2 linked regions of the Diceros bicornis minor genome follow. The protein of the gene in region 2 interacts with the protein of the main gene of each other region in a biochemical or structural test. Links are inferred from orthologs where the notes say so. Each region holds a gene or a part of one and is shown on either strand. Other genes may lie near its edges.

Evidence for each region.
Region 1: the proteins of ARNT (region 2) and CALCOCO1 form a complex in vitro, tested with the Homo sapiens proteins (2 studies listed by BioGRID, with this or other methods). The link is inferred for Diceros bicornis minor from reciprocal best matches to the Homo sapiens genes ARNT and CALCOCO1.

The regions. Positions count from the first base shown.
Region 1 is NC_080756.1:16,604,625-16,611,840, forward strand, and holds the start of CALCOCO1 (calcium-binding and coiled-coil domain-containing protein 1), read left to right. Parts: upstream 1-4,108; 5' UTR 4,109-4,179; intron 4,180-6,353; 5' UTR 6,354-6,377; coding exon 6,378-6,533; intron 6,534-6,852; coding exon 6,853-6,955; intron 6,956-7,216. UniProt on the Homo sapiens protein: Functions as a coactivator for aryl hydrocarbon and nuclear receptors (NR). Recruited to promoters through its contact with the N-terminal basic helix-loop-helix-Per-Arnt-Sim (PAS) domain of transcription factors or coactivators, such as NCOA2.
Region 2 is NC_080743.1:55,242,929-55,250,440, forward strand, and holds the start of ARNT (aryl hydrocarbon receptor nuclear translocator), read right to left. Parts: upstream 3,089-7,512; 5' UTR 2,990-3,088; coding exon 2,965-2,989; intron 1-2,964. UniProt on the Homo sapiens protein: Required for activity of the AHR. Upon ligand binding, AHR translocates into the nucleus, where it heterodimerizes with ARNT and induces transcription by binding to xenobiotic response elements (XRE).

The sequences.
Region 1 (7,216 bases), on a different chromosome or scaffold from region 2:
CATCAGGAACTGATTCAGCTAGCACCTTGATCTTGGACTTTCCAGCCTCAAGAACTGTGAGAAATAAATTACTGTTGTTTGTGCCACCCAGCCTATGGCATTTTGTTATGGCAGCCCGAGCAGACTCTGACACCTACTTCCCACAGAGCCCACAGTTTGGAAACACTAGTAACAGCCTACAATATCTGACACACCAGCTGCTTCTGCATGTTTGAAAGCACCCAGCAGAGTGCCTGGTACACGGCATGCACTCAGTAAACACTAGCCATTATGATTTTCTGCAAAAGCATCTTGTTATATTGGAAAAGACATGGGTTTCAGAATAAGTTTGGTCTGAGAGACCTTGGGCAAGTTACCCTGAGAGTTTCAGTTTCTTCGTCTGAAACATTTGAGAGCACCTTGCGTGGTGGTGTGATGGTTTGATGGGTGAAAGAGCCTCTCATATAGGGGACACTCAGCTAGTGGTAGCTCCTCAAAGCATTCCACGAGTCCAGGACCAGCTTCCCTTCACCATGTATTATATATCAGGCACTGGGCTAGAGAAGCAATACCAGAGTTAGGCCTTTCACAAAGGAGAAAAGAGACTTTAAACTTCAGGAAGATAGGATTCATTTTGTAGCAGCTCCTTCCACGCCTCTAGAGAGCCTTTCAAAGATCATTTCAATCTTCCCCAGCCCCAGTCAGGAGTTCTCTGTAATCTGAAAACACCAACAGTCCCAAGATCTCACAACCTCACTCAGAAGTATTCTGTAATCCCAATAACTGTCACTTCCACGGGTATTCACAGTATTAGTCCCCCTGTTAAAAAAAATTGTCAGTGGCTAACTCCCTATTCTTGATGCGAATGAAGTCCAAACATTATAACCTGATGTATTAGTGGTTAGAAAAACACTAGCTACTATACGGCCCAAAACTTTAGTGGTGTAGCAAAACAGAAATTGATTTATTAGTTAAGTGAAGTCCAAAACGCATGTTCCTGATTAGCGGGCCATTCTCTGCCAAGTGGTGATTCAGAGAACTCGGTTCCTTCTAACCTCTGTCCCCACATCTTTAACATTTGTACTTTCAAGGTCACTATGCTTAAGATCATACACATCAAGCCAAAAAGGAAAGGACATGAAGGATCTCCCTTGGGAGGTTTCATGGGCCAGGCCTGGAAGTGGAACATGTCACTTAAAGGGAAACTGAAAAATGCAGTCCAGCTGTGTGTCCAAGAAAAAGAAGGAAAGAGATTCTGATAAACACATGGCAGGCTCTGCCTTGCTTGGCATTCAAGATTCTCCACACTCTAGCTGAAACTTACCTTTCAAACCTGATACCACTTACCTTTCAACCTTGACACCATTAACCAGGTATGGCTATGAGTCAGCTTTGCTGCAACATCAACCCCAAATCTCAGTGGCTTACAGCAACACGGTTTATTTCTGACTTTCGTGTACGTAGGCTGTGGGCAGGCTGCAGCTCTGCTCCACGGCTCTTCTCATTCCAGGACACAGGCAGAAGGAGCAACTCTCATGTGAAATAGGCCCATTCTAATGGAGAGAACAAGAAAAGGAAACTCACATGCTCAGACATGGCATGAGTCACATCTGTTCACATCTCATTGGTCAAAATATGAAACATGATCAAGTTCAAAGTCAATGAAATGAGACATATACTCCTTCTACAGAAGATACTGCAAGACACGTGGCAACGGGCAGGGAAGGAGAAAGTAAACACTTTCAAACAATAAATCAATCTACTACAACTGCCATCTTCCATCTGGAGTACATGACAGACATTACTAATTAATCCCAGCACTCTTGCCTCAGAATCCTTCTCAACACAACATTGGGCAGTCATTACCAATAATCTGAATTTGAAAGAAAAAAAAGTTGAAATTGATGCACTGTTCTTTTTTTTTTTCCTTTCTCCTCAAAGCCCCAGTAGATAGTCGCAAGTCATAGTTACATATCCTTCTAGTTGCTGTACGTGGGACACGGCCTCAGCATGGCCGGAGAGGCAGTGCGTCAGTGCGCGCCCGGGATCCAAACCTGCGCCACCAGTAGCAGAGCGTGCACACCCAACCGCTAGGCCACCGGGCCGGCCCCATGATGCCCTGTTCTTATGTGACCTCCTAGCCTCCAGTAAACCTGTGAACCTTTGCTTCAGCCTGAAATGAGCTTATCCTTCCTAGACGTTGTCCTGCCAAACTATCCAAATCTAATCCATCCTTCAAATATCTATATTTTATATTCATTCTTTCAGCAAACTGTATTGAATACCTAGCATAGTGCCTGACACATGTATTTGTTCAATGAATCTGTTTCACATCAACTTGTGCCTTGCACATAAATGCAAGGGAACATTCGTCCCCTTATTAATTAATAGCACTGTTCCTTAGAACAATCAGTGTTAGTATCACATACCAGGAGTTTCTGGGGTGGGAGTATGGTGTATTGACTAGTTGTGCTTGAATCCTGATTCTACCACTTACTAGTTGGATGACCCTAGTTAAGTCACTTAATTGTCTGCACCTCAATCTTCATCATATGTAAAATGGGGATAATAATAGGGCCTACTATATAAGGTTGTTGTGTCAAATGGAAAAATTCTTAGCATAGTTTAAACACATTATAAGCACCCAGTAAATGGAAGTTGTTATTATTTTTAGCTCCAGCTGAGACTGAGTTTTCTTCCAAGCTTTTATTCTGGGTGGAAGACAAAAACCAAGAACACTTGAGACTTGCCTCCCTGAACGAGCCTCACTCTTAACCCACTCTAGACCTTGAGCCGTCTCCTCCCCCAGCAGCCTGTTTTCTAACTCATAAATCCTGACTAATGACACAGACATGTCACCTTAATGTTTGTGAAGCCCAGTGACTTATTGTTAAGTGCTTGGAGATCTTCAGATGAAAGGGACCCAAGGGCAGGCACAAGACACCCTATTCAGTCATAAAAGCAAAATACTACCAAAAAACATGGGAAAGGCAGAGGCTCCATAACTTAGTGCAGCAGGGAATTAAAGCAGGTACCAGGAAGAGCAAATCAATCCTTAGACTGTAATTCCTTAATACAAGGACAGGGAGAGAGATGGTTTCAAAAGCCTCAGACGATCTGGAAGGTCCCAGGGAAGGAGGGGTGGGGCATGATGCCCCAGTGTTTAACGGTGACTTGGGGTATGGGAAGAGTATGAATCTTTCACACACACACACACACACACACACACACACACCCGATAAAAACAAGAGCAACAACATGTATTGTTATCCTGATTAGCTTAAGCCAGTTAAAAGGCTTGGGCAAACCAGCCCCTGTAAGTGGCTTGTTGGTGAGCTGTGACCGGCCCTGAACTATGCCAGGCTCCCCTTTCAGCTTCGTTCTTACTTCACCTCCCCCTACACACACACTTCAGACAATGGATCCTCTTCCTCGACCTAGAGACCACACTACGGCAGCCCAGTCCAGGTCCCTGGCACTGAAACTCTCAAGTTGGAAAAAAAATAGCCAGCAGTACACAACACACAGTTTTTACAGGGGCTGTCCCTGAGGTTGACGCAAAGAAGAAACTGCTAGCGCAGCCATCAGTTCCCCGTCCCCTCAATGGTAGCGGCAAAGTTCTACCATCTTACAGATGGAGTTCCACCATCTTACAGCTTTGCTACTTGAGACTGCTGCCTTAACCGTTCTGAGCTTTAGTTTCTTCATCCGTAAAATGCGTATTACCAACCTCACACGTTGTTGCGAAAAGTAAACGGGAGCGTGAAGCCGAACACGCTCCGCCCCCTGCAAAGCGCTACACGCACAGGAGGCGTTAGAGCCGTAACTCCTCCCCACCCCCCAACCACGCACGTTACAAACCAGTAGTCACCACTAATACAGCCGGCCCTCTCCTAAGGAATCATGGGCCGTGAAGTCCTTTGGTGGACATACCCTCGTTTACCATCACGGAAGTGAGAACTACGCCTCCCAGGATGCCGTGGTGAGGCCGCCTCCACGGCCGCCCTCTGCTCCGCCCTCCTTGCGCACAGCCTCCTGGGTTGCGTAGTCCCAGATCCGAGCAGGCTCGCCGGCAAAAGGACGCAGAGGAACCACAAACCCCAGAAGCCCTCGCGCCCACTCTTCTCCCTCCCCACCCCGAGTCGGAGTGCTGTTTTTGTTGTTGGTGAAAGGTGAGGGAACAGCTGATCCGTCTGAGGGGTAAGAAACTTGGCCTAATTTGGGGGTGATCTTATGGGGGGTCACCCCGCTTTCCAGTCTGTGAAAGGATAATCTAAGGGAGCTGTAGAAGGGGGATAGAGGAGCGTTTGGGTTTTAACACTTTCCGTACTGGAGAAGCCACCACTACTGTTTTGGGGAGTTCTTGGCCTCAGGGGGGCCCTGATCAGGGGGTTGCCCCCTCGCTGTTCTCACGTACCTCTCAGTCCTTCTCTGTAAAGCTTGATACGCTCAGGGGAGTTGGGGGGAGGTGAAATCTTTGTTCATTTTCTCCCAGGCACGGGTTGGCCACCACAAACCTTCCCTTTCCCCTTACCTCCCGTACCCCATCCGAAGGCCTTTACTACGCTGAATCCCTGGAGAAAAAACATTCCAAGCTGTAGAATGTCAAGGAACTTTAGAGTCCTACAGAGTGGGGGGATGGGACCCCTTTCCTCTGAACACCTGAATCTCACCACACACATACACTTTAGGTGCCCAGAGCTTTCTTTCAGGCCTGGGGAATGTTTCCAGCTGTTATGGATTTTATTTGTGGGGCATATTTGGGGTTCCCCCGGCTTAGATCTTTGGGGACAAGTCATTCCTTTAGAAAGCCAGAAGAATCGTATTTGGAGAAAACATGCACTAGTTTTAACTAGGGATTTTTCAGAGAAATGAAAAGCCAAAGAAATCTCTTGTCCTCAAGTCAGTCTCTATTTTGGAGGGAGATGTTACTCCTTTTTGCAGAGCTTGCCCACCTTTCCTTCTGTACTGAGTTTCTGTCTTCTTTTAAAGTTCCTGCCCCCCTGACTTCAGCGTGGTGTGGGTTTGTGATGTTTGGGGGCATGCACATGACTAGTGGCCATGGCTGATTGGACACTGTCAGGTGCTGCTGACACAGGGTGAAGGTTAGGGGGCTGGAGAGGAGAGATGAGAGGGCCATCTCACAACTCTGGGCTGAGGAGTTCTCTTGATTGTTATTGTTATCTTTCCTCACCCACCCCCAGATTTTCCAATTAACTCTCCCCACCCAGTTTGGGACACCTCTCCCTCTCAATCCCATCCTATAGCATGCCTCCCACTACCAATCCAAGCAGATGGAAGGATTCAGGCACTTGGAATTGAGGCCAAGAGAAGGAGAGAGAAAATGGGGAGGGAAATACTAGGGCTGGGTTAACATACAGTCAAACCAGTAGGTTTCTAGTCTTGCTCCAGGCAAGACCTGAAGAGAAGAATGTTAGGTTTTTTTTGAACTCTCTCCTCCTTCTCTCAACACTATATATACATTTTTCCCTTCTCAGAGCCTCTTACTTCCCACCTTCCAGTCTGTCCCCTGGCCAGGGGCAGGGCTTTCCTGGCTCCAGGCCCCCACATTCCATCGCCCCACAGCACCACGTTCCTGCGGAGTGTTGCACTCCACCCTTGAAGCAGCCGCCTCCAGAATTCTTGACTTCCTGGAGTAATGAAGTTGAGGGACAGGACCTGTCTTTCTTTATATCCTCCCTTTCCCTTTGTGTCTTGGATAAGAACAGAAGCCTTTTTTTATTCATGGGGGTAGACAGCTCAGAAAGAGGGAGAGGACAGACAGCTCAGGGGCCTGAAGATTGGGCTCTTGTCCCCCCAGCCATATTCCTGCTCTGAAGACTCAATCATTGCTTTCAGAGGTTGTTGCTGTTTTCAGGTGTCATAAGTCATTCCTGGGTACAGCTGGAGTGGGCGAGGAGATCTGCTCAGAATGAAGGGGCCCCACACCTCAGTTGGATTTTGAATTCAAGAGCCAAAAGATGTGGGGGATGGGACAGGGAGATGGAGGCTATTAAGAAGGACATTAAGAGGTGGAAAAGGAGGGACTGAGCGGGGCAGAGCCTGAGACACTGAGACTTGGTCAATGGGGCTATGAAAAGGGAGCAGAAATTAGAGAGATCTTAACTCTAGGAAGAGTCTGTGACTCAGAGAGGGTGCAGTGAGACAGGGTGGGAACTGACTCAGAAGACCAGACCTCTGTCCTGGAGACTAAGGATGATACCTCTAAAGATTCCTGTAACCCTCAGGGGCTGGAAAGCAGATATGCCTTCATCTCCAGGTGTAGTGGCAGGGCTGTGGGTGGGTGAGGATGGAGTTAGGGAAGAAAGAGATGGAGTGGAGAGACTTTAGGATATTAACCCTTTGTTTCATAGGAGGGCAGATATCTCAAGGGCAGGATGGAAGAATCGTCACTAAGCCGGGCACCGTCCCGGGGTGGAGTCAACTTTCTGAACGTAGCCCGGACCTACATCCCCAACACCAAGGTGGAATGTCACTACACCCTTCCCCCAGGCACCATGCCCAGTGCCAGCGACTGGATTGGCATCTTCAAGGTATCCCTGGAACCCCTATTGGCTCAGGTTCATGGGCCATGGGTTGGTCAGAATAAGGGGAATGACTAGGTTCTTGGATTCTCAGCCTCATGTTGATAGAGAAGTAGGGAGAAAGATGTCACAGATGACAGAGGCCATCTTCTCCTCGTCTTAGCCTTGCTCTCTCCTGACACATTAGTGTTCCTCCACTTTCTCTGTCTCTCATCATCCTTGCCACCATAACACCATCCTATCCTGCCATTAACTCCCTCAGCCCTTTCTGCCATCTGCAGCTGGTAGTTCCACTGCCATACCGCTCTCCCACTTTGGGCTCTCACAGGTGGAGGCTGCCTGTGTTCGGGATTACCACACATTTGTGTGGTCTTCTGTGCCTGAAAGTGCAGCTGATGGTTCCCCCGTCCATGCCAGTGTCCAGTTCCAAGGTACGAGGGAAGATGGAAAACCAAAGGGAGGAGCCAGGGGGATGGAGATTTGGAAGAAGATAGTGGGCTCAGAAGCGTAAAAGTTAGGCATAGAGGACAAAGAAAAATAAGTGCAAATAAATAAAATAAGAAATACATTCAACAGGGCTCAGCAGACATAGAATCATGGGATTATCACAGAATCAGGGATTTAGAGATGGAAAGAACTGTAGAGGGCAGCTAATCTCACCTCCTACCAAAGGAAGGACGGGCTAGCGGGTA
Region 2 (7,512 bases):
GACAACTATCTACTGGGGCTTTCGGGGAAAAAAATAAATAAATAAAATAAAATAAAGAATTTTGTTAATTGATGCTTTTAAAACTATAATTTATATAGGTGAAAATTGTGTGAAAAGAAAAATTTTCCTAAATGTCAGCCTTACAAACCCAAATAGTGTTCCTTTCTTTGCCTTCTACCACATTCTCCATCCACAATAAATGGTCCCTAATAGCACAAAAAGAGATCTCCACTAATGAGAACACCAGAATCAAGAGAGGAAAAACCTACCCACCTACAAACTCCTTCACAGCTCTGGTTTGAATATTGAATTATAAATCAAATACCCAACCTCTTCCCAACCAGCGCCTTAGCCAATGCATTACAAATCACACGTGCAATTTAAAAAGTGTTCCTCAAAATCGTTAGTATTCCATAAACAAGAAAGATACAGCCTAAGACTTCATGGACCATCTACCCATCCACTTCTACTTGCCAATGGTAAGTAGAATTAGAGAAAAATAATAGAATATTAAGAATTACCAATTCATACAGAAAAAAAGCCATCATCACATTAGAACTATTACTTCAACATAACTCTTGGAGGGTACAGTATAAACCATGTCTTACTCTTCTTTTGACCCAGCACCATGTTAAGACACAGTGAAAAATGCAAAGGAACCAGATCCCCTGCAAGACACTGAAGGGCCACCCATGGTCTCTAAATCATATTCTGAGTACAATTAACACAATCATCAAGCATTGTCATTAACGCTAACGATTAACTCAAATGAAGCTTAGAGACTACAAAAATCCTTTGCAGACATATCTGAAGACAGAACTGTAGGGAAACTTAACAACCAGAAAAAGAAATTAGAAAAAACTCAAAGAAATAGGTAAGATGTCCCTAGCACCCAAAATAGCTTTAAGGAAAGAAGGTTTGACCATGCAACAGAATTCTGACCTGAAAACCATTTACTTTCTTTTCACTGAGCACAGTACATTTCCACCCTGTGTCTCTCCAGTCATGGTCCTCATTTCCCAAAATGCAACAGGCTACTAAAAGTCCACAATACATCTATGATCTCCTCCTTCTGATATAAAGGGGTAAAAGGAGAAATGAAGGAAGAAAATACATTTTCTGATTTAATCATCATGTGTTGAATGTGGGATCAATAACTTGGAAGAGATGGAAGAATTTTTCAACATCAAAAAAGAAATCTAGAAATCGCAGAAGCAGGCTGCTAAAGGACAACAAACAAAATCAACTGTTTCATTAGCAAGTATTCTACACAAATAAATGCTATTTTCTGCTTACAGATTTAGCTGATATTGATCAGCTAATGAAAATGTGGTCAAGACACTGTCATTCTGGTTACTGTTGTTTAAAAAGCAAAACAAAATAAAGCAACCCCACCCACACTGCTGGAAAAAGCTTCTGACATATGCACTAAACTTGTTTACGCAGGCCACCTCTTAATAAGAGAAATACTTTGCAACTTGACTAGGGTTATATAAGTGTTTTGCAATGTGTTGTCAGTTTAAAATCTTGTTTATTTACTCCCTAGTTAACAGGTTATTTTACTACACAGTCAGGTCTGCCATAATAATAGCATCTTTCCAATTTTATTCCATCACTCAGCACTTCCTGCAATAGAATTTTAGCAATTAATTTTATCTCCTTTTCCTCTAAAAAAACTAAAACGATTTAAAAATATGATATCGCCACGTGACAAATTAACTTCTTTAAATAGGTCTGTTCCCAGAAACACAGTAGGAAGGACAATAAATTTCACAGTGATTCAACTGTAACAGCAAAATCTGGCTATTGCAAAATAATACTGCCTTTCAGAGACACGGAAAAAAAATCCAACTTAAATTTCAACGTCGGAACAGCAGTGAATTCCTCCAGGCCACTGCTGTATTTTCAAGAAATTCGCCCCCACCTCGAAATTCATTTCTTTTGTAAGGCTATCAAAGAAATGGATTTCTGGGAAAGCATTCTATTTTGCAAGAGAATGGCCAACGTCACCAAGGTAAACTAGGACCCCTAAAATGAAATACTTCCCAAGGAGAAGTAACTGTAATATAGTGGGAAAAGGACTGGGACTAGGAATTTGAAGACCTATCTGTCTAGACCTGCTGCACTACACCCCATTCCATCTCTTAGACATGACTGGCTAAATTTTTTTGAAATGTTCAAGCACTCCCTTTTGAAGAGATGGTTCATTGAGAAATGGCATGGAACTGAACTTTTCTTAAAGAATGGGAAGTGCCTCAACCCACACCTAACAAGATTTAAACCTGGTTTTCTGGATGCTTGCTGTTGGCAAGACCGGTCCTGAACCTCAACCATTACACAAACCTCGGCCCTCAGCAGCTAAAGGCACTAGAGGCACCTCAATACATAAACTCAAGTTTCAAAGTATAGCCCGGGATTAAGAGGAGGGAGGTGGGGGGGGGAGGCATAGCCTAGAGAAACGGTGAGTATATATTCAAAGATTTTTTTAACTTAAAGTCTAAATATTTAAACGATTGGAAGTAACACCTCCGCTAAATAGCAACGTGGTCCGGTGTTTATGAATCCAAACTACTTTTAAAGTGAAACGAGCCACTCTGCCCACAGTTATTCGGCATCAAGCAGCTCCAGTGGGCAGAGGGTTGAAACAGGACCACATCGCACACCAGAACGCTGCCAGAAGAGTGGAGGCGGGCCAGCGCAGCGCGGGCAGCCGCTCCAACAGAACTCGCGGCACGGAACCCCCAACTCCCACCCGCCCGCTCCCTCCCTCCACCTCGGGTCTCTCCAGTTCCCCAGAGTCCGGCCCCTCCCTCAGGTCACTCCCCTCCCCCACCGCCCCCTCGCCACCCCCGCGCGTCCCAGCGCCCTCAGCCCCAACTACGGCCCCTCAGCCCTGGTCTCCTGAGTTGCCAACCCCCTCGGCACGTCCTCCTTTAGAGGCACCCCAGTCCTCCGTCTCCTTACCGGGGTTAGCAGCAGTCGCCGCCATGGCCGTAGATGCCACCGCCGTCGCACCACCCCCCCAGGGGGAGGGGCCGCCGCCACCGAACCCGGGGGGAGGGGGAGGGGAGAGCCACTCCCCAGACGCGGCGCCCTACTGCCGCCACCGCTACCGCGGAATCCAAGATGGCGGCTACAGCAACCCCCCCCACCGTCCCCAGCCCCTTTAGCGGAGAGACCCCGCCCACAGGGGGGCGGAGTCAGCCCCACAGCCAGCCTCCTCTGGGAAACTGACCAATGGAAACACCAAATCGACCAGAGGCAGGCTGGCCACTGCGCCAGCCGGTCCGGTGGAGGAGGGAGGAGCAGGAAGAAGTCCAGCTGTCTCCATAATCCCGCCTCCTGTGCGTCAGAGGTCAATGATAGAGTGACGTCAGTGAGAAACAATTTTACTAAAAAGCTTGGCTTGGTGGTGGATTCGCGTGGTTGGCCAGTCTGCAGACAATTTGTTTTGTAAATCCTCTTTAAGTGCTCTAATGCGTAAACTTCACATGGTGATTTGTAATCGCTTCTAGAGTTCTTTCCTTTTTTAAGGACCTTTGTCCCTCGTGAAAAAAGTTCGATAACTAATTTTTGAATGCCTGCCACGGAACTGATAGTGGAAGAGGATCTGGGCTCTTACGGTCTGGCGAGGGAGATACTGACAGCCAAAATAGGAGGCGATGTATGAAGAAGATATTTTGATTAAGAGTGGGATAACTTCCTTTGGTCAATGATAGGGACCTAATGATGGGTTTTTAATAGAGAAGTGATAGGGTGAGGACTGCACAGATTTATTTTCTAATATAGGAAGCATTGAGCACTTCAGGCCAGACACTGTCCAAACTGCTTTATGTATTTACTCATTTAATTCTCATAACAACACTGTGAGGTAGATTCTATTTCCATTTTGCAGAAAAGGAAGCAGAAGCAAAGAGGTTAAGCAAGGGATACTCAACTGGTTAGTGGTGCGGGAGGCAAACCCGAGGAGTCTCACTCTGGGAACATGTTCCACCCATCCCCCTGTTCTAGCACTACAGTTTTAGCATTATATGTCTTTCACAAGTTGTTTAATATAAATTTAATTACAATCTTAGAAATTGAGCATCTTTGTGTTCTTATAGGTTGTATGTGTACTAAAAGATTACATTGATCCATTTCCCTCATTTAGTTACCAGTACAGTTTATCTCAACAGAGGTATTTTCACATAATTTGTATATTATTGTTTACATTTGTTAAAATTAAATTTTTCTTTGTTACCGTTTTGTTATGTTGTATTACCATTTCAGGAAAAAGAAAAATCATCCACTCAAAGAAGTACATTGAAGCATAAGAAGTAGTGAAAAAAGTACTAAGTACTTCAATTCCAAATTATGTAGTAAAAGTAGCTAGCTACTAAACAACACTGCAGTGCAGATATAGAATATGAATTATGTGCCTGTAAATGTAATAAGTTCATCCAAGCAGCAAAAACATAAATAAAAATGTAAATAGGAAGTACAACTATGAATATCTAAAAATTGGATTTTATTGGGCCAGCAATCTATTTGTCCCTTGCCTGCTGCACCTTGACTATTAGGAAATTTTGTCAAACAGTGACTTGGAAAGCCATCAAAGCTTTCAAGTCATTTTTTAACCAGATACAATAACCTCGCTGTCAAGTAAAGTCTATTTTTCCAGAATAAATGCAAAATAATGTTTTCTAGTATGAAATGGATGAATATGTGGATAAAAAAGATCAAGTTATATCCCTCATTTAAAAATTGGTAAAAGTCGTTTTGTTTTAGAGATGCTTGTACAACTAGCTACCAAGTTAATAAAAAATATTTTGCTTGGAGAAAGTATAACAAGCTTTTGGCAGAAATCCCTAATCAAATATCACACAGAATCATGGTATACAACAAGAAAGGGCAATATCAGCCTTGTCCTTGCCAACGGATGTTTACCTTACAAGTGGACACCACTGATGTACACATTATGAATCATTTCACAATATATATATGTGGTACATAAGGAAAAATGCCCAGAAACTTCCTATTTGTTTTATCATTAAAAATTCAAGTTACAGAAGAAGACATTTTCATGTAGAAAAATTTTCATTTAAAAAATAATTATTTTGTGAGGGATGAGAGAATCTGAAAAAGGTATCTCGGGATCAAAACTTATGGGAGTTGTAGCTTCGGGTGTAGAAAGGACGTTATTCCTGCAAGAAACAAAATATCAGTCCACTTTCTGTTTTATTCAGAGAAAAGTTGATATCAAACAATATTTCTCCTGATTCTGATTCAACATAGGAAAAATTAGTACAAAGTATAAATATAGTTAAATAGCAGCCAGTAAGCATAATCTTTGAGAAGAAATAGACAAATGTTAGAAGACTGCTTTTTCCTTGATGAAGTATGGAGGCCAGTAATGGGGAAGGTGCTCCCACAAGTTTTTTAATAAGGGCTGAAGTAAAACTTCCTTCTTTACTATACAGATAATACTAACAAAAACCATTTTTATTTTTCAATTAGGCTTGCTCAAATGGCTTATCTGAGCAATATTTTCATTATTTTTATTAACCTGAACTTATTACTTCAAGTTCTAAATGCCATGATTTTTAATCTTGAGAACAAAGTATCAGGATTGTGTAAGAAAAACAGACTGTTATGCAAATGCCTTGACTGCCAAGAGTTTGTTATTTCCCAATACATGATAATTTCCTTTCTTCATCAGAGAAAGAAATGGATGACACATTATTAAATATATTTTAAACCAACATCCAAATGTTGCAACTGAGTAGGAAAAAATGCTTTTCAGAGCTGAATGCAGACCATGCGGCTGAGTGGAACTCCTGCTCTCTCCCAGGTTGAAACATTCAACTTTTGAAGTTGCTATAAGCTCTTCTACTTAGAATCTGACAAACTACTGAAAACTGTCTTCGATTAGAAACTCTCCATGAGGGCCAGCCCCGTGGCTTAGCAGTTAAGTGCGTGCGCTCTGCTGCTGGCGGCCCGGGTTCGGATCCTGGGCGCACACCGACGCACAGCTTCTCCAGCCATGCTGAGGCCGCGTCCCACATACAGCAACTAGAAGGATGTGCAGCTATGACATACAACTATCTACTGGGGCTTTGGGGGAAAAATAATAAAAAATAATAATAAATAAATAAAAGCAGAGTGTTTAAAAAAAAAAAAGAAAGAAACTCTCCATGATACTAGATCCATGTTATTCAGAATTATCTGGTAGCCATCAAACACTCATTACAATATCTGACAAACTCATTGCGAATTCAGAGTTTCTAATTTTAGTATAAATAAAAATTAAGTCAATTATTAAGCCTGACCTATTGCACATGTTTTCAGCTTACCAATATTAAACAGTTACTATTCCTAGTATTAATTTTTAAACTATTACAAATTTTTCTGTTACCTTAATCATTACAGTAAGCCAGTTTTTTTAATTACTTAAAATGATGGTCTGAGGATGTGCCAGTTTTATTGTGTCTCCAGATAGAGTTGCCAGATTTAGCAAATAAAAATATAGGTTGGCCAGTCAACTTGAACTTCAGATAAACAACAAAGAATTTTTTAGTGTAAGTATGTTCCAAATATTGCATAGGAAATATTTATACTAAAAAATTATTCATCTTTTATTTGGAAACCTTACTCCTGGAGGTTAAAATTTTAAGGAACACTGATTCAGGTTATTTTGGGGAGGGGAGAGACTAGAAGCAGGAAATTCGCTTAGGTAAACAGCTACTGCAGAAATCCAGGAGAGAAATTACAAGGACTTGACATAGGTCAATGAAACTGAAAAAGAAATGATTGCCCCAAATATTGTTGTGCCAGAATAATCAACAAGGCCTGCTACATAATTGCATATGGAATAAAAGAAAGCTGTGATGTCAAAGGCTTTTGGATGATATCGATAACAGAGACAGGTGCTAACTGGAAGTTCAGATTTGTTCAGCTGAAGTTCAGTTGTTGGATTGTTGGTGGGACAGCCAGGTAAAAATACTTATTAAAGTATATGAAATCATGGGACATCTGCCCAAAAGAGAGGTTGGCACCTAGACCTAAACTTGTGCATCAACTGCAAGAGACTTGTGGTTGCAGAAAATGACAGCAACAAAGTTAAAAGAGAAAAGAAAAAGGACACAAAGAATGCCTCAAGAAACGCCTGTTTCAGATTATGGAAGAAGGAAGAGGCAACCTGGAAAGAGTAGGGCAATGGACGCAAAGGAGTTTTAAGATAAAAGAGTTTGGGCAACAGTATCATATGTTTAGAGATAAGGATGAGCAAATCTAAGGAGAGAAGAGGGAGTGGAAACCATAGTTCAAGTGAGTGAGAAGTGAATAGAAAGTGAGTAAAAAGAGGCAGGTAGTTAGCATACACCACTTTTTCAAGAAATATGACAATGAAGAGAAAGTACTCAAATGGTAGCTGGGGTGGGGGATAGGGTAGGGCTGGGAATAGAAAGATATGTCTGTAGACTGAGCTTGTGGAAAGGGACAAATTAAAAATGCAAGAAAATATATGCGCCCAAG